4 linked regions of the Lonchura striata genome follow. The protein of the gene in region 4 interacts with the protein of the main gene of each other region in a pairwise test. Links are inferred from orthologs where the notes say so. Each region holds a gene or a part of one and is shown on either strand. Other genes may lie near its edges.

Evidence for each region.
Region 1: the proteins of LMO1 (region 4) and CBY2 interact in binary tests that used the Homo sapiens proteins (3 or more experiments, as listed by UniProt). The two-hybrid records come from large-scale screens. The link is inferred for Lonchura striata from reciprocal best matches to the Homo sapiens genes LMO1 and CBY2.
Region 2: the proteins of LMO1 (region 4) and PTPN3 interact in binary tests that used the Homo sapiens proteins (3 or more experiments, as listed by UniProt). The two-hybrid records come from large-scale screens. The link is inferred for Lonchura striata from reciprocal best matches to the Homo sapiens genes LMO1 and PTPN3.
Region 3: the proteins of LMO1 (region 4) and SOX5 interact in binary tests that used the Homo sapiens proteins (3 or more experiments, as listed by UniProt). The two-hybrid records come from large-scale screens. The link is inferred for Lonchura striata from reciprocal best matches to the Homo sapiens genes LMO1 and SOX5.

Annotation. Positions count from the first base shown.
Region 1 is NC_134604.1:61,118,299-61,125,409, reverse strand, and holds the start of CBY2 (protein chibby homolog 2), read right to left. Parts: upstream 3,021-7,111; coding exon 2,860-3,020; intron 2,786-2,859; coding exon 2,669-2,785; intron 147-2,668; coding exon 1-146.
Region 2 is NC_134603.1:65,418,642-65,425,824, reverse strand, and holds the start of PTPN3 (tyrosine-protein phosphatase non-receptor type 3), read right to left. Parts: upstream 3,009-7,183; 5' UTR 2,928-3,008; intron 1-2,927.
Region 3 is NC_134607.1:14,597,617-14,604,583, forward strand, and holds the start of SOX5 (transcription factor SOX-5), read right to left. Parts: upstream 3,004-6,967; 5' UTR 2,860-3,003; coding exon 2,822-2,859; intron 1-2,821.
Region 4 is NC_134608.1:50,786,190-50,794,009, forward strand, and holds the start of LMO1 (rhombotin-1), read right to left. Parts: upstream 3,007-7,820; 5' UTR 2,356-3,006; coding exon of another isoform or gene 2,331-2,355; 5' UTR 2,250-2,330; coding exon 2,207-2,249; intron 1-2,206. UniProt on the Homo sapiens protein: May be involved in gene regulation within neural lineage cells potentially by direct DNA binding or by binding to other transcription factors.

The sequences.
Region 1 (7,111 bases), on a different chromosome or scaffold from region 4:
GCTGGCAGTAGATGTCATTCACCCATTTTCCATCAATAAACACAAACGTCTCACCCCTTGGCTTCACCAGAGGGGTGATGCAGTCTGTCTCAGGCTCTGTGTGCTGCATGCTCTGGCTCCTCTGATCAAAGGCAGATATTGCCCTTCTTTAGCAAATTGAAGAGGACTGTGGAAAAAAGCTTTTTCCAGGGCTTCTATAAGAGGCCACTGACCACTGTCAAGGAGCAGGTGACACAGTGGGGCTGCAGAAGCTTGATTAGGACTGAAAGAACAGGGAACACAAATGTGCAGATTTACTGCCAAAATTCCAAATCAGAATTAAACTACACAAGTGACAGAACAAGTGAATAAATCAGTTCTCACAGTTAACCATGTTGCCCCTTTGATGCTGAAAGGTAAGGAATCCATCAGATACCTAGCTGATAGAAGCTGAGAAAAATGGCATTGGTAGATAAAGCAGCACAATGGCAGTACTAAAGTCTTTCTTATTAAAGCATGCACTTCCCCTTTATCTCTCTACCTCATTTTTACAGACCTGTAAGGGAGCAAAATGCAAGACTATTTTCTGCCTCAGAATAGCCTGCTCCCAAATGACTGATGCACAAACACATTAAAAATTGTTATGAGGCTCAAAAAACCTTTTTAAAATAAAGCATTTTTAAAGGTTCATAGAAAAAATCTGGCCTTGAGAGTTTTTTATTGCTAATGCTGAGTAGCCTGTGCTAACAGGATGCCACAAAAATGCAGTGACAGTTTTGCTTTTTGATCTTAAATTCCACAATATGCACAAACCAAAGCTTTGGGACATCAGAGATTTGTTGTTCTTCGCTTGGTTTTTTACAAGCTCCCTTCACCATGGTCCAAAAACTGTCACAACCCATAGATAATTCTCCACCTTTCATTCTCATTTTTCCTGTCACTCTTACTCTTTATATTCTTTGATAGTTCTGTTATTTTTCTTGCTTTCTAGCCCTGCAATGGTGATTGCTTATCTTTTTCCTACAGTCCATCTGCCTCTTTTTCACATCATCAGAAAACTCATCTCTAAAATCCATATTGTAGGGCCAAACCTCTAATGCTTCTCATTTCAGACACAGAAACCTCAGACTTAACTGTTGAATACTTTCCCCTCCTTTCCTCTACCCAAAATATTGCAGTTTAAACTATCTTTTAACCATGAGTGAACTGGGGCAAATTAAGGATTTCAGTCTTTTATGTGGGGGGAAAAAAAAAACAACAACCAACCAGACAATCAAAAATTATTGTTTTGTGCTAAAGAAAAGCTTGTTTTCTGCATCTAAATTAAAAAAAAAATATTAAATTTATGTGATTTTCATGATGAAGTTATTTGATCTGAGGTTGAACTATTTTTTATAACCAAATTGCTGGAACTTTCAGGGTTTCTGCACAGAGTTTCTAATAGCACAAATGTTCCTTTTTCTAGGTGAAAAAAAAAATAAAGCTACTTGTCAGATTTCACTCAGGTGTATTCCTCTCCTCCTGCTGAGGTCCTGCAGATTCCCTGCTGTCCCTTGGAAAGCCCAGTTCTGCCTTTCTGTCTGTGATGAAAGTTTTACCTTCGTGAATCTTGCCCTCATGTTTCTACCCCAAGCATTAAGCAGAGGGTGACCACCACACATGAGCCCCTTATAGCCTCCAGCTCTGTCATCCCAGTGTGCACCTCCTGTCCTATTGTTGCCCTTTCCTGTTGCTCTCCCTTTTCCCTGTCATTTCATCAAACAGCACTGCATGTCCAGGCTCCTCCAAGATACTTGTTAGAGCAAACATCCAGAGATGCATCCTGTACCCCCTTCCCAAATTTGTCCAACCACTCATAAAATTACTGTGTCATTTAAAATCCAAAATTCCTTCATTTAGGAGAGGGTTATTGCAATATAGGTCTCTGTGCATTTACGTTTGATTTTATTGCAATCTGTTTACTGTCTGAATTTCAGGGCTGTCTTCCATATCATCTGCTGCTTTATCTCATGTCAGACTTGTGTTTTCATAACATCATTCTTCTGCTAAAAAGGTATTTCCCAAAAACTCTGTTTTGGACTTTTGTTTCCCACTTACACTATGTCCAGAGCCATGCATTGCTCCCTCCCTTACACCCTTCCCCTGCAGCCTTTCCAACACATCCCATTCCACTGAGGTGCCCAGTCCCATTTTTTCCCCCAAAAGCCCTAAAAAATTTGGGCCTGGTGAGGGGTGAAGGGGCAGAGGGCAAGTCAGCCACAGAGGGAACAGACCTCTAATTAACCAGGGAAGATGCAGAACACATCCAGCATCAGAAGCCTGGACCCACATGCCTATCATGGACAAACAGCTACAGTTCTTAAAGTCACTTACAGAGAAAGTGTTTAGATTGCACATTTTCAGGATAAACAGAAATGTATAATATATACGACATTATCTGGGGGACAATTAAATTGACAGTGGCTCTGTCAGCTCTTTTGCACTGCCAGGGAGACATCGACCCAAGCTTTAGGGACCCTTCAAGATCTCAGTGCCTCCCATATATATTTTTTCCCCCCATCTCTGAATAATCCCAGGAAATGCTGGGCAGCTGGGCGGATGAGCAAGGCAGCCAGCTGCGGGGCAGCCCCGCCACGCCAAGGCAGGCTGGGCATTTGGGAGCGGGGCACTAGGAGCCGCACACGCTCACCTGTGGGCGCGGCGCTCCCTCTCCGCGGGGCCGAGCGCCGCAGCCGCGCTGAGCTCCCGCTGCTGCCGGCGTGTCCAGCGCCTCCCCGGCCGGGCACCGGGCACTGATGGGAGCCACCTGCCCCAGGAGCCTCCAGGGGATGGGAGCTCCTGCACGCCCTCCTTGCACAGCTCACTTCACGCTGTTCTCACAAGACTGGCTTGGGCTTCTCCCAGCGTTGCTCTTCTGGGCTGCTTCTCATGGAAATGACCTTTCTGCTAGCTCGGCTCCCATGCCCTTTCCTGAACCCAGACTTCCCGATCTCCCTTTGATGCTCGTAACTGAGAATAGTTTGGACGGATTCTTTCTCCATCACACCCTCTTAAAACAAATTTTGCTTTTATTCTGAAACTTCAAATTCTGTTTGTTGCTGAACTGATATAGATACATTCAAAAATCTCGTCCTTGCATGTGCTGTGGGATTTGAAGTTATTTTCCAAGGACAACATGAAGTTTTTCTTTGACTATAAGTTTAAGAGCAGATTATAGCTGAATCCAAGTAAGAAGAAAATAGAATATAGAAGACATTCGCACATGCAGGTTTAGATATTATTTGTAGCAGCCATTTCCACTTCCACATCTTTACATTTCTAATGAAGTCTTTCTTATTTGCTACATCTTCCAGAAATGGATTTTTTTTTTTTTTTTTTTTTTTTTTTTTTTTTTTTTTTTTTGTAATCAGGATTCTTGAATAATAAATACAGCATTTAAATTCTCTTTCAGTGAAAATTACTAAGTTGACATCACCCTCAAGGAGACTGCTGCTGCTTTAGGAACTTGAAGGTATAGTTCAGCTTTGGTGTTATATGAAAATTATAAACTCAGGTATAAAATTCTTCTCTGTAATTGCTCCCTTGCTTATATGTAATCTTAGACAACAAAACCACATCACAGGTTACTATGGCAACTCCCCAGGGAGTATCCTTCTTTATTTGAGCTCCAGGATCCCGCACAGGAAAACAGAAAATGTCCTCAGAAGAGAAAATATTTTATATGGGCTATTTGTGCTTGGCCTGCCATCATATGGGAATTTAAGAGTTCTACCCAGTGCAGACACTTTTCAGGAGGAGATTGGATGAAATATCCAATTTGAATTTCTGAAGAACTGTGGCTGTGGACTGTGAAAGTGACCTTTGATGAACATTTTAAGGTCCAAGAGCTGACTAGAAACATAATTAATAGAAAGAAGTGCAGCTGCTTAATCCAGAACCATGGAGAACTAACTTGATATTGAGCGTACCTTTGCTTTTCTCATGCAGTATTTTCCTTAAAGTTTTGTAAAGTTCCTCTGCCAAGTTAATTTTTTACTGAAAATTATGAATTCAAATGCCAATACATTTGGATCAAATTTAGTGAATATCATCAGATGTGTTTATGCACACATCAGAATTGGAAATGCTGCAACAGCTCACAGCAGAATTTTTTATAGCAGCTACACTGATTTCTGAGTTAGGCTCTCAAAAGGACTGAGATGTCATTCACAAGATTACAAAGGCAGAAATAATGCTGAGTGTGTTCCACTTCCTGCCAAGAGAAAAGTAACCCCTGCTCTGTGAGAAGGGTTTGAGCTAACCTGCCAGCAGAGTGTTTTGTCCACAGCTTCAGACCACTCAATTTCTCAAAGATGTTTCACTACACAAAGAATTAAATATTATTTGGAACCAAAGCCTTTTTTCTCCATCCTACCTGCACACCTTATACCAGGCTGCTCAGCTGACCTTTGCTGTCCTTCTTGGAGACTGTCTGGTTCTAGAAAGGATTCAGTGGGAAGGATGTGTGATCCCAAACACACTCATATAATATTCTCCATGCTCCGTGCTGGGGTACTAGAGGTCACCATCCAGTGATGGGTTAAAAGCCAGGGGGAAGAGCAAGGTATGAACTGCTGCCATGAAGATTTTGCAAGAAGGGCCCTGAAAACCCCATACCAGTCTCCTTTTTATTAGATAGAGGCATATACCAGCAGTAAATGTCAGCCCTTTCCATCCTTTGCTTTTGGGTTAGAAGATCTGGCAAAGTGTCTAAAGTGTAAATAATATTGGGGGCAAGGGGCAGGGGGCGGGGGGGAATGTTGTGTAGAAAAATTCATGCTATATTCCCAAATCTTTATTTTATAGAACCAAAAGCATCTGCTGCCACTTTCTACCGTGCCAAACACATCTGTGCTTTTGAAATACCAGCCTCTGTTCAATCCAGTGCAGGCTGGTCTCACCACACATTCATCCACTGTTCTCCAGGGCATTAAGCCTGGATGTGAATCCCACCTAGTCACTAAAAAGACTCTTGCATATCTGAGTGCTCTTGAATCATCTCCTGACCTCAACAGCTGGGCAGGGAGTAAAAATTATGTTTTCTCAGTTTCTGAGGGAGTGAAATGTCTGATAATATCTCAGCATTGTATTCTGCCCAGGAACAGACAGTCAGCGGTGTGAAAATCAATAATGAAAAACTCCAGATCAGTTTTTTTTAAAGACAAATAAATGGCTTGAGTGACACACCTATGTCATTCCCTGTTTGGACTAATTGTCCTTCCAGGGACACTATCAGAGTGCTGCTGCTAGTGCGTCTCAGTGTAACCCTCACAACATCCAGTGTTGTGCAAATCACCAACCCTGCATTCTCCTGTCAGCACTGGGTCAGCTGAGAGCTGAAATGAAAGGTGGAAATATCTACTTTCATATCTTCCCTCTGATCCTAATTTTATTTTAGACATTGGGTAAGTCATCATTTCCTCAGGTTCTCAATGAGTTTGAGATGCTGACTTTCTGATGTAAGCTGTCAAGAGAATTTAGTTCTTCTTTGTGAAGCGCCTTGAACATGAAAGCATGACAGCAAAGAAGCCCTACACACCACTCTTATTTATCCCCTGATTGTAATACACATGTTTCACAGGGTGAAGCAAAACATTTTACTATTGCTAGTAAGTGACATCTTACAGACATGTCAGGCTTTGTGTTGTTCCACCTTTGATCTCATTCTCACTTTGCTTGCTTTGTACTTTAGCTATGAATATTTAGAAAAAAAAATCATCAAAACCCATGTGCAATCTCTTGGTCAACTCTAAGCCATTTCCTCTCAACTCTGTTCCAGTGTGTTGTGCCTCTGTGAGCCTTGCTAACAAAAACCAGCCCAATTACCATGTCACTCTCCTAGTTCTGTCTGAACAGATCACAATTTACGGAGCACTCCACAGGCTGAAAGAGCCCATTGTTCACTGCTGAGTTAATGCTAGAAGCAAGGATCAGTGATGCACTTGGTTTCTGTTCTGAGGGAGAGGGGCAGAGCTGGCATTGCCCCTGGAGGAGCCTTCCTGTACATAGGGACAATTTGGAAGGGGACAGTCACCTCAGTGTGCCACGTGTGAGCATGGGGTATCCCAAGGGCCTCCCTGGGGCACCCGGAGAGGCAGGTCTGCCAGCAGGGACACGCTGTCCCTGATCTCTGATAGCCACAAACCCCAAACAGCAGCAGGCACGAGTGCTCGGGAAACAGACTTGAGCCCTCAGCGACTTGTCAGCCAAGTGATGCTCCAGCCCTCACCACTGCTCTGATCAGGTCTCTGCTGACTGCACCTGAGCTCTGAGGTTCTGCAAACAGGTGCAGTGTTTGGGAGTTGGGGGCATTTCAGCTCATTCTGAACACAGAGCAGGTCTTCCATGTGACAAGTCTTTGGGTGAGAGGGAAAATCAGTGGCTCCATTCTTGATTGACAGGGAGAAAATTAAGGGTTCAGGCTTATTAAGCAATCTCTAACAGTGATTTATGGGGTCCTGTACATTTTAATCTAACAAAAAAATTTAAATCATCTAATTAGCTAAGTGTGTAATCCTGTATATTAATTGTCTATTAGCCACTTCTTAATTAAAATGGAATGCTTATCAAATAACATGTGATGGCCACGTAGCACCAATTTAAGTCATTATCAGACCAGCTCCTATTTTAATAAGGATCTGTTCAACTGGAGTCTAATAATTTCATTTTCTTTTAAAAGCTCTACTGAAGAGGAAGCAATCACCTTAAAAAAATAATATTCCATTAGGACTTTCTAGACCCTTTACTATAAACAACACTACATGAAGAATCACAAAACCCATGTAAAATATCCAAGGAACTATCAAGGAACCTGGAAACCCAGATCTTATGTTTAAATTTGTCCAGGAGTTCCTTGTTCATGCACACAGACCTTTCAGCATTTTTGCTTGACTTCCTCTTTGTTGGGATGCATCACTCCTGAGCTTGAGGAGGTTAACCTTGATTATTAACCAGCTTTTCTGGGCCCATCATCCTTCCTGGAAATTCTATCAAGCAGATTCCTGAAGAGATCAAAGTCTGCCTTCTCAAAGTCCGGATGAGATTTTTGTGATCTCCTCAATCCAAAAATTCTAACGCCATAATTTTGTGGTCA
Region 2 (7,183 bases), on a different chromosome or scaffold from region 4:
CTGAACTGCTATGCATATGTAGCCAGAAGAGAACCCAATGATGCAAACACCAACAAATACAAGGAGGAAGCAAAATAAATATTTTTTGCTTAATATACTCAAAGCTGTAGTTTTGGGAAAGCAACTGAAAAATGTTGCTCTCTCATTTTCCTTGCAAACTTTTCACTAGATGAGCAGTGTTGCCCCTGACAGAAATCAATTCTCAAGTTCATAGTCATGAAGCTTAGAGAATGTGTTTCTCAGTCAAACAAACAAACAAAGAAAAAGAAACCCAACAATTAAAATCAAACCCACACCACAAGGCTTCTATAAAACTAACAATTAACATTTATCACATTTAGAACAAAGAGATTGGTAACTGTGGTCCTCATCGCCACTTAACTACACTTTACTTTTAACTGGTTGAGTTTTAATGAACAAATACCCCTATGCATAGATGCCAGCATGGCAAATATTATTTGTGAATGAAGTGACAAAACAGAAGAACTGCTCACTGTACCGGTATTTAGTCCACCTTGGAGAATTTTAACATTAATGACTTCTGTGCATAAGACTTTCGGTGTTATACCTATGTAAGATTACTCCTTCAGTGCCTATGTAAAGCTATCATTTACCCATCAGTGTAAAAAGTAGGTCAAGCTTAGAAAACTATGCACAACTGTCTCTGCTATAATACTGACTACTAAAAAAACAGTCCACCCAAGATCTTTAGAAATCAGCTGATATTTTAGACTCCTGGATTGGATGAAAACATGCTTTATTACATGGTAACTCATGAACATAGAAGATAATCAAGATAATCTTCATCTTCAAGAAGAAAATTATACTACCGCTAGCTTTTTTATTACTACTTTTCTGTTGCTTCTGCTTTAAGTATATTACACCAATAATACAAAATGATGAATTAAGAAGCAGTTATGGAGCTTTGCAATTTAATAGCATATCACTTAATAGTTTTATCAGCATCTTAATTTGTACTGAAAATATTTTGAAAGCATGAAGGTGGAGAGTTAAGTATTGCAAAGTACAGCATGTAACTGTGATATTACTTAAATTTATGTCTTAAAATAATGAACTGTCCCCATCTTAGAATACGTAAAAAGTTGATGTGGAAGGATTAGAAATGCTTATTAAGTCAGAGAGAGAGATGACAAGTGTTAAAGAATTCTTCCAAGAATCCACTGCCAGCAATATTAGGGTGCTTAATGAAACAAAATTGATCTTATCATCACAAGTTGGTCCTTCAAATGAGGGCTGTTCTATTAAGTGTACTTAGAATTATGTGGAGTATTACATTTTTTCTTATGAACTAGAGAACAAAAATGTATTAAGTATTTGTCACCAACCTATCAAGACATTTTTGCCACAGGACAATACCAGAGAATATCACCATCATAAAAATTTAGCATTTGTGTTGCACTGGCAAGCAAGCCTTTTTAGATAAGTAACTGAGGTGACTGAGGAGACTCTTCTTCCCCACAGTTCTGTTTGTTGACTGTTTCCCTTATGATCAAACCCACTCAGGTAATAGGGACAACTTGCTTCTTGTACAACTAGTTTCAGAAAAATTTTGTTTCTAAACAAGTGAGAGTGCAGCTGCCCTCCAAAGCTGAGTAAGTATTCCACACATCTACATTCATTATTTTATAAATAATCCTTCAATGCAATGCTCTGCAAAATTAATACTTCAGTAATATATGTATTTCTACTAGAAAGACAGTTTGTGACTAACAGAGTAGCAGTACCAATATTCAATAGCATTAAAGAACTAACTTGTTCTGCTTTCTGTTACATAGGTATTAGAGCAGTAGCAATTTGTGATAGGCTGAAGAGCACCACAAGGGAAGCGATCATCCTAGCAGGGAGGACAAAAAAATCCCAACTGTATCTTTGAAAGAGAGGAAAGCAAGGAGCAACAGAAGGAGAGACTGGCTAATTACTTTGGATAAGTTCATTCAAGAGAGGAAACAAGAAGTGCTGCAAGATGAATGAGAATTCTATATTAAAAGAAGTATCCAATTTTACTGCTGTTTCATCTGTTCCGTAACACCAATGAGGCAAATAGTCGTCACACTTGACATACATGGATATATTATATATTTCTTAGATATATTGGATATTTTTGTATCTCCACAGGGCAAGTCAGCACCCAAAACGCTGAAAAGTAACCGCTGTGGAGCACCGGCAGCCTTTGTGGTGGGGCAGCTGCTGCTAACTAGTCGTGGTACTGTATCTCCGGGCTTTGGGATTCTTATCCCCCGGCAGACCCGTCCGGTCGGGGGCACGGGCAGGGCTGCTCTGCGCCCGCAGCGCTCGTCTCTCTCCTAAACACGCCCGAGGCACTCGGGGCTCGAGAATACTCTGAAAACGGGTGCTCCGCCAACGATGTGGGGGAAAAAAGCCGGGAATAGAGAAGAAGCCAAACTCGCCCTATATTAACAGGCAGCAAAGGCGAGCGGGGGGAAAGCCCGGGGACGGGACGGGACGCTCCCCGTGCCCTCCTCCGGTGGCCGGTGCTAGACACACAAGGCGCGGAGCGGAACAGAAAACGGAGGGACGCGCGGAGCGGAGCAGCGCCGCCCCCCGAGGGCACGGCTCGGCTCGGCACGGCTCGGTCGGGGGGGAGCTGACACCCAGCCCGGCACGGCCGCGCACCTTCCCGCTCGCTTTCCCCTGCGCCAGCCGCCGGGAGCAGCGCTCGCCCCCGCTCTCCCGCGGGGCCGGCGGACAGCCAAGCACCGGCGCGGGGCCAGCCGCCCGGCCGGGCACTCACCGCCCCGCCGAGGTGCAGGAGGAGGAGGAGGAGGAGAAAGAGGAGGAGGCGCGGGGGCGGCCCCGGCGGCACCGCCGCCCCCGCCTCCCGGAGGCGCCCCGGCGGCGCCAACTTTCCCCGCGCCCCGCGCCGCTCCCGCCGCCTCGCCCGGTACCTGCCGCGCCGCCCCGCGCCGCCGCCGCCACCCCGCTGCCCCAGGGGGCGCAGAAGGCCGTCACGGCCGTCGCGGCCGCCGCCACCGTGCGGACCGAGGAGAGCAGGTGCGGAGCGGGCACCGCGGAGCCGCTCCCGCCGCCGGCTCCGGCTCCGGCTCCTGGGCTGGGCGGGCAGGGCGGGGCGGGGCGGGGCGCCGAGGAGCGCCCGCCGCCCGCGCCCGCCCCCTAGCGGAGGGAGCGAGCGGCCGGGCCCGGCCCAGCTCCCGGCCCGCCCCGCCGCTGCCCAAGCCCGGCTCCGCTGGAAGCCCTTCGGCGCTTTCCGCCCTTCCGCAGGGGGAACGGGAGCGGGGTCACCGCGGATGGCGGGGCTGGAGCTGTTCCCTCGCCTCCTTCCCTCGCCCCGCGGCAGCCCTGGCGGGGACTGCCCCGCCGTCACCTGTTCCGCACGGCCGTGGCGGCCGCGGTCCCGCCCGGGTCCCTCCCTGCCCGCAGCTCCTCCCGGCTGTGCCCGCTGGCAGCGCGGCACAAGCAGCTCTGGGGGCCGGCTCCAGAGGCTGACACCAGCTGGGCACACCGCCGGCTGGCGGACCCTGCCAGGCGACGAGGAACCGCGTGTCCCTCGTGCCATCGCCTGGGGCAGAGCGGGGCCGGCACAGGAGGTGCGAAGTGTCGCCACAGCCCGCAGCGGGTGGCACAGCCCGCCCGATCGCCTCTCCCCGCCGGAGGAGAGCAGGTCTGGCCGCCGGCGGGGCGCGGCGAGCGGGCCAAGGTGTGGGGATGCGTGTGGAGCCTCCTGCTTCCCTCGCGTCCCCGCTCCCCGCCGGGCTCTGCGCTGCACCGCCGTGCCCGAGGCATCGGCTCAGGCTCTGCGAGCGAAGTAACTGTGTCAGGGCAACTCTACACCCATGCTAATTAGCTGAGCCTTTCTGCAGCGCTAATTAACTGAAGCAGAGGACTTCAATGGCCGAGCAATCCCGTGGCATGTTTTCTCTGGTTGTAAAGAAATTTTCAAGTGTTTGATCCTTGTGCCCTTGTGCTAATGAGACTATACATAAGATCAATGAAACAGTCCGGCTTAAATTATCCAGAAAAACCCTCCTAAACTGTGAAGCTTGGATAGTGCTCTCCTGATCTGTTTTGCCCCCTGCCTTCCGCCTTTTCTGTTAACTCAAATGCAGGGGTGGGAGCAGGCAGAGAGAGAACCGATGCGCCAGAAACTCCCTGCAAAAGACCCAGATCCAGGAAAAAAAACCCAGAGACAAGCCCGAGAAAAGCTTATCAGATGATTCCTTGACACGGCTGTATTGTTTCAAATTCCAAATTGCCTTTCCAAGCTTAATTCAGAGACCTCTGTGCTGCAGTTCACAATATAAATATGTCTGCTGTGGTGATAGGGCATTCCAAAATGCAACTTAGCTCTTGCCATCTGCTTATCTAGTGATGTAGTGATCTAGTGCTTATCTTGTGCTATCTGCCCTTCTAGTGAGCCACGTTCATGGTTAGTTTGGGGAAAGTAACATGAAGGCAGCAGCTCCGGTGAAGGCAGAAGAATGGGAGGCAGTTTTAGAGGGAGAATGGGAGGCCGTGCATGTCTACACAGTACTGCCTATCTGAATTTGAGTACTGGGAGGAGCGTAGCTGTGTCACAGGTTTTCCCACCAGGCACAATGCCCACTGCTGCTCAGCACAGCTGATTCATTGGATTTTGCAGATTTCCTACAGGCTTCTCTGAATGGTTCTGTCTTACACTCATAAGTGATCTTTCCTGAAAAGTGATCTTTCCCAAATGTTTGAGGAAACCATCTAATAATCTAATCTCCTGTCATTTATTAAAGGTACATAAACTTAATTTGCCATGCACTTAAATCCTAATGACAGGCTTAAATACTAATTGACAGGCTTCATTCTATTAAACAGTTTCTGAGACTCAGAGTGAACATTAGTTCACTTGTTAATTCTATAACATTACTCCAGAATGTGAGCTTGCTTATTTAAGTCTGGAACAATAGATGTGTCAAAAAGCATTGGCATTGCCATCCCAAATCAGCCCGTTAGGTCACTATGTTTCCACCAGAACCTCTCCCACTTAATAAGTGAGCATTAGACCCATCTAATGCTTTGTGTCCCATGGAAGCAAGTTAATTTTTTTTTTTTTTAACTGATACTTGGTATTTTCCAAAGTACTTTGCAAGAAATAGTCATCATCTTTTCTTTTAGAGACTGCAGGAAAACAGTGCTACACAACAAGTACACAAAGTGAACACACCACTGAGGGCCACGCTGCTGCTCCTCATATTGAAGGTTACTGCATCTTGCCCTTCACATAGTCCCATGTAGTTGTGTAGGAGCATTAATTCAGAGGCATGAGAGCCTATCCATTCCAATTAATCACAGTCAGGGCCTGATGACTTTAGAGTTGAAATATGAGTGCATCAGGCTTTTGATTTAGTGGTATAATTCCTGGACTCAGGTCCAAATCTGTGCAGCAGAAAACTTTCATTACAAAAATCAGAAAATTCTGCTGGTGGGCCTTGAAGGAAATATGTAATCCCAATCTTTCCCTGAGTAAAAACTATTATGTATTTCATCAGGTCCTATCAGTCATGCCAGTGAAGAAGAGAAACCCCCACTTTTGATTGGGATTGCAGATTTAATTTAAAATTCTGTTCTTGGAGGCCACTTTCCCAAATTCCTTGACTTTAGGGAAAGGCAGAGAATCCTATAGTAATTAAGACCATGGAAGAGAAAAAATAATTTAATACCTAGGATTGGCACACATAGGATACCACAGAAGCACCGTCTCTCACCAAGAGATGATTTATCCCTCCAAATGCGGTATCAGTTTATAGCAAACACTTCTGAATCCTCTACTCATCACCTATTTGTTAAAGTTGTGCTAAATTAGATAAGTATTAATTATTTGAGTGCAATTTATTTTCTTATCACACAATCAAAAATGTGGACAAGATGTTAATTCCATGAGAATAACAACCTCAAGTTAAAAAGGAAAACCACTACTCCTCTCAGAAAAAAACCCCAAACAAACAAACCCCACAAAAACAACAGGATAAAAGTTGTGTCTGTTATTTTCACCGTTTGTGGCTGAGGCATTATTATTTTCTGTAATTACTCAAACAAGATCTCTTTTTGCAGTATCATCTCCCATTCACTGGACACGTTAATCCCTACAGACTGGATGTCTGTTCTCATCCTCTTGAGTATCCAGCTGAAGACATCTAGGACACAGTTTTTCAACTAAATTTCTGTGTGTGTTTATTCACTTCTCTGAGAACTTCTTTAAATAAAAAGAAATCACAACCTGAACCTCAGTTTACTCAGAAAAAAAAAAATGCTCAGTTACTGATCAGAGGAAAGAAGTCCAGCTGGAGTAACTTCCTCAGCGTCACCCAGAAGTGCTGTCATGGTAACAAATATCTCTGAGGGCAGTTTGAGCAGCTGCCTAGACAGGGATCAGGTACAGATTAAAACCTGATGAGGAAAAAAGTAGTGTGAGTAGTGTTATTTTTAATATAGATAAATTCTGCAGTTAGGTTAGCAGTAGTGATTTGAGGAAAAGTGTGCAAGTGTAAAAAACTGTCAGTGTTCTATCCCAAGAAGAGTTAAAGGGCAAGGGGGATGGATGTCTGAGCCACCTGGTCTAGTAGAAGGTGTCCCTGCCCATGGTAGGGTGGTTGGAACCAGATCTTTAAGGTTCTTTCCAACCCAAACCCTTCCATGATTCCATAAAATATGTGCACACATGCACATACAGATTTTCAGAACTCAATCAGCCAAATTTAGGAGGAATTCCTTCTTGTCAACAAAAGACTCCTTGCTGTCAGAATCATGGACATGATAAAGCTTCTCAAAAGATGGCTACTAGTAAGGAGTTTGTGTGATTGTTTTAAATTAGCAATTCCTTATCTTAATTCTTCTTGAAAAGACAAAATTATGATCAGTTCAGCTGGAGGCAGAAACTCATGATGTGAAATTTCATCCCAAATAATTACATTCTGGCACACTTGTAACAAAACAGGATCTCTATAAGAAAAATATTTGACAATCTGAGCTGTGGTCAGCCTGCCTTATAGATAGATCTGCATATGCAAGCACAGAATTAACTTCTCTCCTGTTCCAGAGACATTGGAGTTCTAACCACTGTCCTTATCTCAAGTTCACAAGACATTTAAAAACATAAACCAATTGTGAACTTAAAAAAAATAAATCCTAAGTGGTTTAAAGTATGTTCTCATTA
Region 3 (6,967 bases), on a different chromosome or scaffold from region 4:
TGCGTACCGCAAATTCCCCCTGCTAATGGCCACAGACACAGAAGAGAAGCCCCCTGAATTCAGCTCTCTTCAGCTGGGGTGACTGAAAGTTTCTGAAGTGTTTGCAGCTTACTGAGACACACCAAAACCTCACAGGAAAGACAATGGGCAAAGAGAAACGACCTCCTGAGAGACACACGGATGCTCTGAGCTGCAAACAACTTTGCCTGACAAATCTTTACCTCCTTGTCGGTTGCTGTTCAAGTTTAAAAACAAACAGTGGGAGACGGGTAATAGTAACAGGACTGAAGTGGGACACGCTGGTATGACAAGCTGAACCCCAAGCGACTGCAGAAATGTGCTCCAAGAACTGTGCTGACTGAGAATCCAAGGAAAAGAACCTACCATAAACACCTAGAAAACAATGATCTGTGCATCGTGCACACACGCACACACGCCAGCTCCACAGGCATTTGTGGGTCTGAGGATCCCTGTCTGTGCAGAAGGAAGTATGTCCTCGTGGCTGTTCCCTGACAAACACACACACGTTACATGGACACTGCCTGGGTCTCCGAATGTGTGTGTGTGTGTGTGACTATAGTCAAACACACGCAAGGTAAACAAATGGTAATGATTAACAAAGATACTGGTCTCTATCCCCAATTTCAACTGCAGAAAAAAAATTGTTCAAAAAAAAATTTCAAAAAAATTGCACGTCCTGAGGTTCGTTTTTTATTGCTTCCCATTTCTACTGCTTGCTGTTATCTGCATGGCAAAAGGAGAGCAGTGTATTGATTATTTAACTAGAATGTTTACAAGAGCAAAGCTGGATCTCTGAAAATGAAACCTATGCCTAGGGGCAAAAAAAAAAAAAAGAAAAAAGAAGGGAGTAGAGAAGCTCATTCTAAGGATGATGGTTGCCCCAAATGACTTGTTTATATATAAAATTTATACAAATATCTATATTTATAATGCAGAGAGACTTCAGCTAAGAAAAAAGTCCCCAGCAGGAAAATGAAAGGGCTTCTTTCTGCTTCAGAGAGTTTACAAGCACTGTGTTCATCACAAAGTTCAGAGAATAATCAAAATCACTCGCTTATAAATTTCTATGTGTAAACTTAGTGAGGCACATGAAATACTTGAATCTATCGATTGCATGAAAACAACAAATGCATGAGCATGATGCCAGATCAAATTTGACATCAGAAACAGTAACAGTTTCCTCAGGTAGTTGAACTAAGTTAATACAGTACACGTGAACAAAACCAATTTTGTCCTATTATTGTAATGCTAAGAAACCGAAGGAAAATGCCAAGTATTCCAAGTCTGAAAAATTAATTGCATTAAAGATGACCTTGGAGTAGAGCAACCTAGCCAATTTCACTTTCTAGTAAGGAAGCATTCTAGTTTCAGAACAAGGATTGCAAGTGTTAAAATAGTTCTTTTCTGCATTTCCAAATTTTAATTTTCTCCGATCTTTTAATTCAAGTGTTCTTTCCTGTCCTTCCTTTGCATGTATGTTCCTCAGCCCACTTAAATGTTTTTATCTTGCCTTCTTTTCTATGCCTTTACTATCAAATTCAGTAGGTTTGAACGATGAACAGCTTGACTTAGCATATTTTTAACCAGCTGGTCTAGCACCTAGCTTGTATTGCATAGTCAGATACAACCAAATGTTTATACAGGAGAAGACAAGAAAAACCTCACGAAGACAAGAAAAACCTCAGTAACACGCATCCTGGCATTCTTTCGTTTACTGCTTAGAAATGAAAGTTTGGACTGTTTACTGCAGCCGCACATGGGGCTATTAACCTTTAAAAGAGAAGCCGGAGGGGAGGGATGCAGGACCATGAACGCACGGACGTACAAGCACCTGAGAAAACGCTTCCAAACATCTCAGGAGAAGCAGATCATATGAAATAAGGACTGAACTCTCGGAGGTCACAAGCCACCAGCAATGACAGCAAAAACTTGATTCCAAGCAGGGAAGGCTGCTGCTTCGGGCAGGGGGAGACGGGCACATCTACGTCATACCCGAAGCCCGCTCGTCATACCCAGACCCGGCTCTTGACACTCCGCGAGAGAGGCGACGGCCAAAACTTGGAGGCAAGAGTTTCACTTTTTCCCTTTCTTTTTCCCTTTGGGTTATTTTTCCCACCTCTCTCTCCTCACGCAGAAAGATGTTCTCCTGACGGAGGGCTGGGATGTTAACTTGCCTAAAAATAATAGCTCCTGCTAGATCAACAAAAGGTCATGTGCTCGGCAGAGCGCCTTCCCAAGTTTGACGGGAGCCTGAGGCTGGAAGTTAGAAGATGCCCGGGAGCCTGGCCGCCACCGGGCATCCTCCGACCGCTCTGCGGGAAGTCCCCGGGCAGGAGAGGGGAGGTTGTGCCCAGGAAGGTGGCTCGGCCGCCCGGCTGGGCTAGCGGAGGGTGTGCGGCAGGAGGGCACGGCAGCCTCTGCGGCCCCGGAACAAAGCTGCGCGCCGCGGGCGCTCCGCCCGGGGCCGGGGGCTCGGCGGCGCCCGCCACCCCGGTCAGTGACACGGCGCCGGGGCGGCGAGGGAGCGCGGAGGGACGCGGATGGGCGCGGGGGGAGCGCCTCTCTGCCCGGCCTCCTGCCGCCGAGCGCCCGAGTTGCGCGCCCGTCCCCGCGTGTCCGTGTGCCCGCTGCCCATCCGCGCACACGTGCGCCAACGGGCGTGCTCGGATAAATTAAAAAAAAAAAAAAAAATGGAAATAATAATGCAATAACAAAGCACGAAACAGAACGGGAAAGAAAACACGGGGAAGAGACACCCCCACACACATACATACACCCCCGCCCCAACAACTCGACTCACCTTTCAAACTCCTGAGGTAAATCAGGGTCAGTTAGCATGCTGGAAAAGCACAATTTCCCTTTGTCACAGCAGCCACCTATGGTCGCCTCCAACTGAACCTGTCAAGTGAGTCCAAACCTTCTAAACCGATTGATTTTCTCTCTCGCTCGCTCTCTCTCTCTCCCTCCCTCCCTCTCCCTCCCTCCCGGCTCGCTCGCTCTGAGCGAGGACTCCTTGACCAGTCTCTTAAAGGGGCAGCGCGCTCGCAGCACGATGAGCGCGCAGCTCCCCCCGCCGCGCTGCGCGACCTCCGGGGGCCTGTCCTTTTCTTTTAATTCTGCTCGCCCGCCGCCGCCAAACGGGAAAAGTCAACTCCTTCAATGTCCTAAAAAAAACAAAAAACGTGGAGGGGTGGAGGGGATAAGGGGGGGGGGGGGGGGGGGGACGGGGGGGGGCGGGGGAGAGGAGGGGAAAAAGAAAAAGCAGTCCGACAATCCACCTAAACCGGCAAACCAGGAGCAAATCCCCTACGCTGAGGAAGATCAGTGGAGAAAGAAGATAAAACAAGAGCAGACTGATTAAATTGAGACAGTTATCAACTCTCGGAGTTGAAATAGAGGAGAAGAGATTAAACACATAAAAATGTTACCAAAGGCATTTGTGCTCCAAAGAATTTTCATTCCTTTTCCCCCACCCTTCCCGGTCTCTCGCTTACCCTCTTTCTCTCTCTCTTTGGGTAGGGGAAAAAAAAAAAAATCACCCGCACAACAATCAGGCATTGTTCTGAAGGAAGAAAAGCAACTTTGACAGATTGAAATATAGCAGAGGCCCCTTCAAGGAAACCTGTAAACAACTTGTCACTCACTCTGTCGGTCTCACTGTTAGCTCTTGCTTTCCACAAAGTGCTGCGAACCGTCCCGGCAACAAACCCAAAGTTTCCTCAGCTCCAAACTCCATCAAATAGCCCTGTTGTGTGCAAGGGAAAAGGTAGCCACATGCCAAAACAGCGGGCGCGCACACACGGATGTTCAAACAACAACAAAAATAAACTTTCTGTTCATCTGTTAGGGCTTTTCTCGTTTTCTGTTTAATCACACCCCCCCTTTTCCCCCCGCTACTCTCCGGGCGAGCAGTAGAAGTCCCTCGGTCGTGACTCCCTCTCATTTCCCCTGCCCAGACAATCCCTGATAACAAGGTGGACGAGGCGCGGCTGCAGAGCCCCTGGGCTGGCTGGCGGAGCTCAACCTCCGCCGCACTTCCAATTATCCAGATAACAATCTGCCAGGCGAGGAAGGCAGGCAGGTAACGGGCCTCGGACACGCGGGGACAGCCCCCGCCTCGCCCGGGCACAGCCGCATCCCTCTCCGTGCGGCGGGCGGGGCGCTCCCGATCCGCCCCAGCGGGGACCGGGGGCAGCGGCCGGGAGAGCGCCGCGGGGAAATTCCCGTCCGAGCCGCGGGGATTAGCCGGGGGCTACTTTGCCGGCGGAGCACACAAAGCCTCAATAGTCTGCGCGGCCCGGGTCCGGCTTGGCACTGAACTCGCAGTAAGGGGCGGGAGGGGAAAGGAAAAAAAAAAAAAAAAAAAAAAGGAAAAATCGGGCGCCCTGTTCTTTCGCACACACGTGCGCACACACCCACACAGGACCACGTATCTATACCCCAGTCTTTCCCCTGCCCTAATTCTTTTCTCTCTCCTCACCGCTTTAATCTGCAGCTGGACAACATTAAGGGCCTTTAAAACCCACGTGGTTTTGACCCCCGAACAGTTTGATTAGGTCCATTGCCACCCCTCTCATCCCTGCCTCCGAGTGGCACGGAGACAGCAAGTTTCCTTTTTGAAATACATACACGTATTTGCACGGAGCATCCATAAAACTTTCAACATTTTCATGCCCGTTGGCTTAAGAAAAATGCCAAATAGAAAAGCTTATTATTTTTAATATCCAACAGCTACGCTGTTTAATTTGGTGCTTTTCACTCCCGGTGCATATGTTAGAAGCCAGCAGGCTCGTGCAGAGGCCAGTCAGTCCAGCGCTGGTATAAAGGCATTATCAGCTGGGATATCAGTAGGGGCTGCTGGCTTTAATCACCGGGAGCAAGCCCACTCCCAACTTGTCCGCATCAGCGCCGGGAGCGCCCGGCCCGACCGCGGCACGGAGCGAGCGACGCAGCCAGCTTTGCCGAGGCACAGCGGAGGATGTGCAGAGCCTGCCTTCCTCCACCACCATGGCGAGCACAATCCGTCCACTTGTGGCATGAGCGAGATCTAATGGGGCTCCTCACCGTAGGGCAAGGCAAGCCGCCTCCCTTCGGTAGCCCCCAGCAAATCAGATTTTCCACAGAGGGTCCATTCATGGGAGCCTGACAAACTTGTTAATATCTACACGGATTTTTCATTAGTTTTTTAGTGGCTACCCCTTTTAGGACAGCCATGAAGTAGACTTTGAAAAGGCAGCAGATTATTAAAAAGAACAATTCCAAACACTTTCTCTTTCATCTGAGGGTCTCAAACCATGTTAAGTATCACATTACTCCTCTGCAGGTAATAAATATAATTAGGGCCGATTCCAAAACTTTATTTGTATTGAAAAGTATCTCACTCTGCAGGGGCTCCATTCAAATCAGCAAATCTCTGTGTGGAGTAGGAGGCTACTTAGTAAGAGAATTTGGCCTCAAATAAGGAAACTGAGATGCAGGCAGGCTTAGGAGCTTGCCCAAGTTGACACATTTAGTCAACTCTGGCAAAAGGATGAAAAACAAAGACCCCACATGTCTCACAGTCAACAACAGCCCTCATGCTGCTGAAACATACATATATGTATATGTATATGTGTGTGTATATATATATATATATACTTATATATATATATGTATATTTGAGCTTTTTTCCCCACAGATTTTTTTTACTTTTACTGTTTTGTTTAAAACATGCTTCATTTCTGTAGTCACATTCTGTAGGGCCCCTCTTCTTGGTGTTTCATTTTCCCCTTGATGCACCACTACCCATCCATAAATGCTGTTCCTTCTGTCCCAGCTCATGCTTTGCTTCCCTTATTTCTATTGCTACCCCTCATGCCTGGCCCTGGGAGAAGTTTACAGAGTGAAGCCACACAGAAGACACATCTGGAAGAAAATTAAGACCACCTTTTATTAAAAGAAGTATAAATCTCGAGCATTTCAGTTAGAACAGGAATACAATACTTTGCACGTTAAGCACCATTCAGGTCTAAGCTCTTATCCTTTTACCAACTCAGCTCCACTCCACAACTGTCCTTCTTCCACCATGTCCTTCCTTTGTCTGTTCACATGTATGTACCCCATTCACATATCACTTCTCATCTGAGCTTTTTCAGGACAATGATCACATACTACCCCCCAAGCTGGTATTATTCCTAGCACACTGGGGCTCCTGGTTTGCTGGCTGTCAGCTAATATGATTATAAATCAGAGCAGCCACCATCAACATCAGGAATTATAGAAGAAGACATGGGCTAGATGAGGAAGAAGCAGAAAGAACCCTATTAAAAGGAGGAAAAAAAGAAAAGTGTGGGAGAGAAAACTAAGATAACTGAGGAAAAGGAAGGGCTCAAAAGGGGAGAGGAAATGGAAGGAAGAAAGGAAATCGAGATCTCTCCCCTGAATGGTTCTGACATGAACTCTTCTTTTACTTAACCTAGTTTACAATTACTCTTACCCCAATACATTTTGTGCTCAGGTACCTTCTTCCCCATTACCTTCATTTTATGTTTTCTGCAAATACTGAGCTCCTGCTCCCAGATGACTGGGGAGAAACAGAGTGATGTCCAAAGAGGAGAAAAAAAACAACTTACTGTTATAGTAATTTTGTAGTATGGTATCCTTGTCCTATACTGGATTATATGGATAATATATATATTACTAGAATATAGACAGTTAAGTATAGACTTTCTGATGAAATTACTTTCTCATAAGAAGTTCAACTGCAATTGCAAGATGGAGAAAAGGCAAGTTAAGTGGTTTGAGGGAATCTTGAAACCCTTCTAAAAATAATTTCATACTGACTTTTAGCTTGCTTTTTAGAAATTGTCAGGACACATCACAAAGTCTGCTAGCACATCAGAAAGTGGAAAAACTGAAAAATTCGGATAAATAGCCACTGAGAAAGAAGAAAATGTACATAACACGC
Region 4 (7,820 bases):
CATCTTAGTCAGAGGAAGGTTACAAGAGTAGCCTTATGCCTCTAATAAAGTAAACTAGCTTGCTTCAACTTATATTGCCAAAGAAAACAACTGAACACCTCTGAGAGTGACACTGCTTCAAAGCCTTTGAAACCCTGTTAGCTTCGTTTGTTTTCCCAGCATAAGCAATACTCAAGCACTTAGCGTGTCTTTTATCCACAGGCCAGTCAACTGCAAAGCTGATCTAGAAGATGTGTAACAGATGCTCCACATCTACTCATTTTTTTGTTCAAGTACTACTGCGTTAACAAAGGAACTTAAATTTCTTAACAGAAATAAAGCCCATGATTTAGGTTTTTTTCTCCCCACAAGTAAGATTATTTCACAGTTTTGAGATACCAACTTAATTAGCATGGAATAAATTCAGAAGGGCATGACAATTTATACAGGGACTTTGATCTCGCATTGGTCAACTCTTAGTCCAAATCTGATTGAATCTGCATACAATGGGCCACTCAAAATGATGCATTTCTGCTTGGTCTTGTATTTTAAAGGTGTCAAGTCTTTGTGAAAATCCCACATTGTCCCAAATGCTTCATGAAACAAAACCATCCCAGAAACTAGATTCAGATTCTACATGCGTGAACATGCCAGAGGGAGAATTTCAGAAATCAAACTTATAATGAGGTAAGAACTCAAAATGCTAGGTCTAAAACACTCCCTTTTTTGCGAGGCAAGGAAAGGAGAGAGGGAAGAGAAACTTTAGCAGAAGACTTCTGGTCTTTCAATAGTCAAGCCTTCCTAATTATTCTCCAGTGCAGTACTAATTCAGTTGTAAAATACTAGGAGAGAGATATGGGTTGTGGAATAAAAATCATATAATTTCAACTTAATAGTACTCAGCAGCTTTCAGTACTAGTCACAAAACACAGTTAGCATGACTCCGACACAGGAAAGTAAGTGACTTTGAATTACAAGTTATTTTTCTCATAAATATTTTAAAAAGCAATATATATATTCAAATAAAATCAATGCTACTGACAAAATGCCCAACTCCCAATTTCTCCAAGCTCTTGTGCTCCTTGTAAAAAGCTATTTCTTGTCTACAGTCTTACAAATATTTAGTAATTTCCCTTATTTTCGAATGGCAACAGCCTATGACCTTATTTTTTTAACACTTAAAGAGGTTCCTGAAATAAATTTTAAAAGATCGGGTAAATCCATTACATGGTCCACTTTATCCATTTATACAGGTGGAATGAAATAAGGAGATAACAGGTAGAAATGCCTGGTACAATTTAAGACGCAGTTCCCACTTTCCACGCACAAAGTGCCACCAAGGCGGAGGTCCTTGGAAGCGGCAGCGCCATGGATGGAAGTCCATGTGGATGGCCACAGAAGCCTTCTGCTCTGCCTCAGTTTTAATCCTTGCTTTCAGTGTACAAGCTATGAGGGAAGACCTTAGCCACAAAACAGCCTCAGCAAAAAAAAAAAAAAAAAAAAAAAAAAAAAAAAAAAAAAAAAGACCTCATTAAAAAGTTTTGATGGAACTTACCAGCTTCATCCCAGAAACTACTGATGACTGAGCAGTTAAGTTGCACACCCTGGCAGGCAACGTGCAAAAGATAGCATCAGGTCATTCAGGCTGCTAACTAACACTGATATTCCTCACATCAATTTGTTGCCCTTAAGCATCCTTGATAAGGACTAGTCAGCTTAAAAAAATAAGCATATGTGAAGTCTTAAAATCAGTCAAGCTCTCCTTCTGCTTCATTCATGAAATTACATCCCAAATGAACCTCCACTTCTGCTATTAAAAGAAGGAAGTAAATTCTTAGAATAAACCAACGCTTTTATTTTTTTTGCCACAGAGGCTTATTAGCTTATTGTCATTATGTTTATAGCTATGAAGAAAAGCTGTGAGAAATAGATATTAAAGGCGCACATTAAAGAGACCTAAATGGCATGCAAATGAAAGGGAAAGAAAAATCTCAAAATTAGATTTACAATAAAAGCTGTAAAAACAAACAGGCTAAAATGGATATATTAGAATAACTTGCAGAAAGAAAAATCTACATAGATATTTAAAAAAACAAAAAAAATCAAGCTGTTTCTGCTATGTCCTTCAGCAAACAGAGCCCGGAGTAAACCCGTGTTGGCTGTCCGATCATGTCAGAGATGAGATATAAAAAAAAATAAAATAAAGAGCAAGCATGCTTTCACCTACACAAGAGAAAAACATCAGAAGCTCTGAAATGCACAGCGCACATCTGTTTCAAAACTATTTATTTCTACATTAGCAGCACACAGAAGAGACCGAGCACAGGCTTACACAATCTCAGCCCACCTACCGTCCTCCTTGTCCAGCACCATCATCTCCGCAATCAAGAAAAGTCCGGGCACAGATGCTTCTTCTCCAGCAGCCTCCGCTCAGGGGAGAGGAGAGCAAGTCTCTGGGAACACAAATGAGCTACGGTACAGCTGATCGTCCTTTAGCAGCAAGTGAGCTCTAATTACCCAGTTGTCCAGCTTTTAACCTAGATTGCACTCAGTTAGAATTACACTCAGAAATAAAGCACTTTGCAGATACAAAAGCAGTCTCACCTACTTTTGTGCCTCAGAATTGCAAGGAACTAAAACTGCAATTTAGAAAGAAGGGGGATCAGAGCTGTTTCTTTGGTTCTCACCTTCTAAATGGCTCAATTTACACAGTATAATCTATTTTAATGTAATTGCCTTTGATAGCTCATAACCCTGGCAGTTGCAACTACACAGCTTTCAGCCTTATAAAGTGTTTTCCCTTTGGATTTAAGCTGACTCTAAATCCGAAATTACATTCGGAGAGGCTAGAATGCCTAAACCCGACCAGCGCTGCCTCTGCCTCTCAATTGGTGAGCCTTGCACACTTGCGATGAATAAATGCACGCGTTTCCCAGGGCCCCCTCCGGAGCTCCTGCCGGGATTTCCTGGCGGAGCGCGGCTTCCCGGCTCAGCAGCACCACCTGCAGCCCGCCCGGCCCCCGCCCAGGTGCCGCCGGCCGGGGCCACCTGCGCCGCCGCCGCCGCCTTGTGCTGCGCGGGGGATGCGCGGGGGATGCGCGGGGGATGCTCCGGGGATGCGCGGGGGATGCGCGGGGGATGCTCCGGGGATGCTCCGGGGATGCTCCGGGGATGCGCGGGGGATGCTCCGGCCCTGCCCCGGCCCCGCTCCCTGCCAGCGGGGATTGTGTCTGGCGCCACGCAGCAGCTCGGGCAGGTCAGAGGCTCTCAACTCTCCGCGGCTGAGTTACGCCAGCCCCGCTGCTCCCAGCTGCGTTTCACGCGTCTCTGGTGACCTAAAACTTGATACTAATTTTTCCGCACAAACATTTTGGGTTTGTTTTCACACGTCGGTATTAGTTTCAGGGTGTACTCCGGAGAACTCAGCTCCATTTTCACTAGGTCGATATTAAATTGTATTTACCTAATCAAACACGATACAAACCCTTTTCAGAAATGCCATCAATGCTCAGATATAAAGCGACAAGTTGGGGCCCCACATCTTTTATCCTACATCCTGCAACTCTCATTCCGTTTTCAGACAAGTCATCTGTTGTCTCCAATGGCTCTCGCAAGGATTGAGGGATCAGACACTTCGCTACCAAGATCAACAGCACCGTTTCACTCATCTCAGTCTTTTAATCTGAGAAAACATTTCATTTCTGCTTTAATGATACTTCTTCCTCCCCTTTACAACTGATACAACGGTACTCTAAAGAGCATGATAGCGGGATCAAGTTATATATCCTTAATACCAATTTTTAATTAGATTCCTTATCCCCAGCTGAAGTGGCTTTTCCTTCCCCCTTCATTCACAATACTTAATCCTAACAGTCCTTGAGAATATTTGATGTTAAATGTATTGGTTCACTTTGAGCTGTTTTCATCTAGTGCTTCCAACAACTCCTGTATCCTAGTGATACTAGTTTGCAAGTGCTGAATATGTATTTTAGCATAAGAGTGCAACCACCATAAATAATCACTTTCTTTTAGGAAGTGTCACAAGCTAGAAAGGAGGAGGACTTTATCCCAAAGATTAAAGTCTAATAGTTAAAAGGATCTGAGCAAAAACTAACAAAACCACAGCCTTTTTTAGATTTGAGGCACTTCACCATTTCCAATATACTATTGGCCTCTGTCAGGAAATGGTGAATTCCAAAAATGTTCCATCTGTCTGTGTACTTTTCAATCCTGCCACCTTCAAAAAGGACAGACTTACCCCAAAGTATATGGTACATTTCAACTTCCACTATTTAGTAACTACAAGAAAGGCAAGGTTTTGATAAAAATTAAGTTAGCTATTGTCTGTCACAGATGACTTCTGCAGCAGAGCAAACTAGCAGACATAATGCACTCATGAAAAAATATGCAGTACCGGATCAATGTACATTTTATTCCTTTACTGCTCCATCATGTCATAGAGGCTGGATTACTCCCTGTGCAAACAGATTTTTTTAAACACTTTATCTGCTTACTCATTTCACACACCAACAATTAAAAAAAAAGTTTTCTAACCCCCAACACATTTGTACAGCAATTTAAGTCAACTACAATTAACACAATCTGTTGGAATTAATCATGCTACCTGATGTCAGTTTACTTTTTTAAGCAGAAATCTGGTCTTTGCGATCAAAACATTTACGTATTTCAGAAATATCTTAACTCTCATTATCTTGAAATATATAAATGCGCTGCACGGTGCGTAGGTTGGCTTGCCCACAGCAAATTCTGCTGTGATTTACACAGTGGAACTGACTAAAATGAGAACCTTGAAGTTCTTCTCTCTCAACCTTTCTCTCCCCCACCCCTCTCGTCCCTCTTCTCTCAGTTGCTAACATTTGTTCGGGGAAGATACCTGCCAGAGTTCCACTGTGAACCAGTATTTTCTAATATCAAGTCATGTTGCATCAGTCAAGCTATATTATGTCACTCCAAACATACAAAATGCTGTTACCTCCCTGACATAACTTGACGTGTTGCCACAACATATCAAGTCAGAAACATGATTATTGTTGTTATTTTTTCAGTCTGCCCCTTCATCCTCAATGATATTCGTGAAGACCCACAGAAAAGTATTATTGAGTCTCTACTACTTCTCTGCACCACAGAGCGTGCTCGCCAAGGAAGCTTTTTGCTCACAAACCCGCAGTGGAAACACAAATCTGCAGTTATCGCACCGCTGGGGCAATCCTGGTGTCACACTGGGGCTGGCACACAGCCCTAAGGCGCCAAGCTGAAAGAGTGGGCAGCTGCCCCTGAGGCCAGTGGCCATGGCCCAGCTTCCCAAGTGGCCTTCAGGGATGCAAAACCAAGGGGCTCATGTCTACAAGGCAGCAAGTGTCTTCCTTGTGATGCACCAGGACTTCTGGGAGGGGTAAACCTGAAATCCTGCTCCTCTATGCAGTAGTAACTATCAATACCCCCACCGCTGCCAGAGACCTCTAAAGAAGAAAACCCCTCAAAGAAAAACTCTACATGGCAAAGCCTCTTAAATCAAGGGGAGAATTGGATAGTAGCCACAACGCTGGGATTTTTAGATGGTAAAAGTCAGACCGGCTTCTGGGAAAAAGAAAAATAAAAGGAAAGAAAAAGAGCCATTTATGGGAGTGAAACAGACCCATTTTTATCAACAAGCTCATTCAAGCTTGATTTCAAAAGGAATTGGTTTAGTTAGCAAAAGCTTCCATTTTAGTCCATTTGTAACCTATGCAGGTCCAGCATCCCCTTTCAACATTCACAGATGAGCGGGCAAGTGGAGCCCATTTGACTCAGGCAGAAAGAAACTTACAAAGGTAAAATGACCTCCTCATAAAACGAGTTTCTCCTCTGAGTCTCACCTTCTATCCCCTATTTCTCCAGGACACCTTTAAAAGTGACCATAATTTCTCCTCGAGCGTAACTACTCCATCAACAGCACAGGAGAGTCTTAGGCATTACTGCACCTTGTTGCTCTGATCTTCACATCCTTCTCATCAGTTTGTTTCCTACTTTGCTCCTTTTTTAAGTGCATCCCGCACTAATTTCCTCTTTACCTCTCCCACCCACCACCATTATTCCCTTTTACACACAGCCACTCATAAAATCTCCTGGAAGGAGGCTGTTGAGAACTGTCTGGATAATCAGGGGTTCTAGTTTCATTTCCTTACAGCACCGTCAGGCCATTCCCGAGCTCTTCGTGTTTAATGAGTACGTCTGAGACACTTGAAAGAGCCCAAACAGCCCTATTAGGAAACCCTCTTCAGATCTCGGTCTCTCCTCGCAGCTCACCTGTGCCTCTCGCCCCTGCAATGGAGGCAGCATCCTGCTGGCAGCCTGTCAATCACACGGAAACAGACGCGGGCTGGCAGGCACCCCCTGACAGAGAGCCACCGGGATGAAGACATCACCCCGTTATTATTAATAAGGGGTATTAATAGAGATGTTAAGAGCCCTTCCTCCCTTTTCCTCCAGCAGCTAAGCAAAATTCAGGGGACTCTTGCAACGCAGGCTTACCCCTGAAAGTGAGGTTGGAGAGAAACACAAACCGTGTTCCACACACCAGTAAGAAATTGCCCGTGTTTAATTCCTCGGTCATTGCTTAATCTTTTTACCTAAGTGCACAGGGGGCGAAGGATGAGGAAAGTCTCTACTGTTACTTCTCACTGACCAGTTAGATAAGTTCATTCCCTCTTCTCCAACACATGTGAGCACTCCAGACCCCATTAATAACACTGCATCGCTTTGCTTCAGAGGGCTTCAAGAAACTGGAGGAAAAAAAGATGCTGGGAGAGGGATTCTCCGAGGGCCCAGAGGCATGTGACGAGCGTGCAGCGAGCTCCCTCGCCACGCACCTCTCTGGAGCGGCGAGCATTTAACCTTGCGGCTGTCAGCGCCCGGCCCCTCCCGCACGGCCGCTCGCACCAGCCGGCCCGGGGCTGCTCTCCGTGCCCCGTCCCGCTCGGCGGTGTCGCGGCGGGCAGGCTCTCCCCGTTCCGAGGCAGAAACTCCAGATCAGAAGACGAGGGGAAGGGGAAGGAGAAGAGGTAGAGTGGACGGGAGGGGAAAAAAAAAAAAAAAAAAAAAAAAAAAAAAAAAAAAAAAAAAGGGAACAGCGAAGGAGAGCATCTCCCACTTGTCTCTTGAGCCCGGCATCCACTTTTCCGAGTTGGAGCCCCCGCCAGCCCGGCACAGGGGCGTTCTGTGGCCGTTTACACAGGCAGGCAGGGCCGCCCTGCCCGCAGCGGGAGCGCGGGGCGGCGTTCGGGCACCCGCGGCCTCGGGAGCCGGCGCAGCTGGCCCGGCGGGGACCCGCGCCGCGGGCAGCGGCGCTGATGGCGGCCCGGAGCCGGGGCTGCAGTGCCAGACCGTCCCCGGCCGGCCGCGGCACGCAGCGGGGCCGCGGCCGTGCCCCCGCGGGGAACACCCGCGCCTCCCGCCCGGCCCGGCCCGGCCACCGCGGAGAGCGACCCGCGGCTGCGGCGGGGCCGCCGTCCCGGGCGCCCCCGGCCCCGCTTTGTGCGCGGGACCGGCCGGGCGGCAGCGCCGTGCCGCGGCGCGGGGCAGCTCCCGGCCCCGCTGCCTCCCTCCGACCCCCGTCCGCGCCTCCCGCCCGCCGCCGGGGCGCCCGGGCGGCAGCGGCGGGCCCCGCGCCCCGCTCCCACCTACCGTCCTCCTTGTCCAGCACCATTGTCCCGGGCGCCGAGGGCGGCCGCCGCCGCCGCCGCTCCGGCTCCTTGGGGCGCTCCCCCTCCAGCCGCCGCCCTGCGCTCCGGGGCGGGCGAGGCGCCGGGCCGGGCACCGGGGCGCTGCCGAGGCGGGGGCAG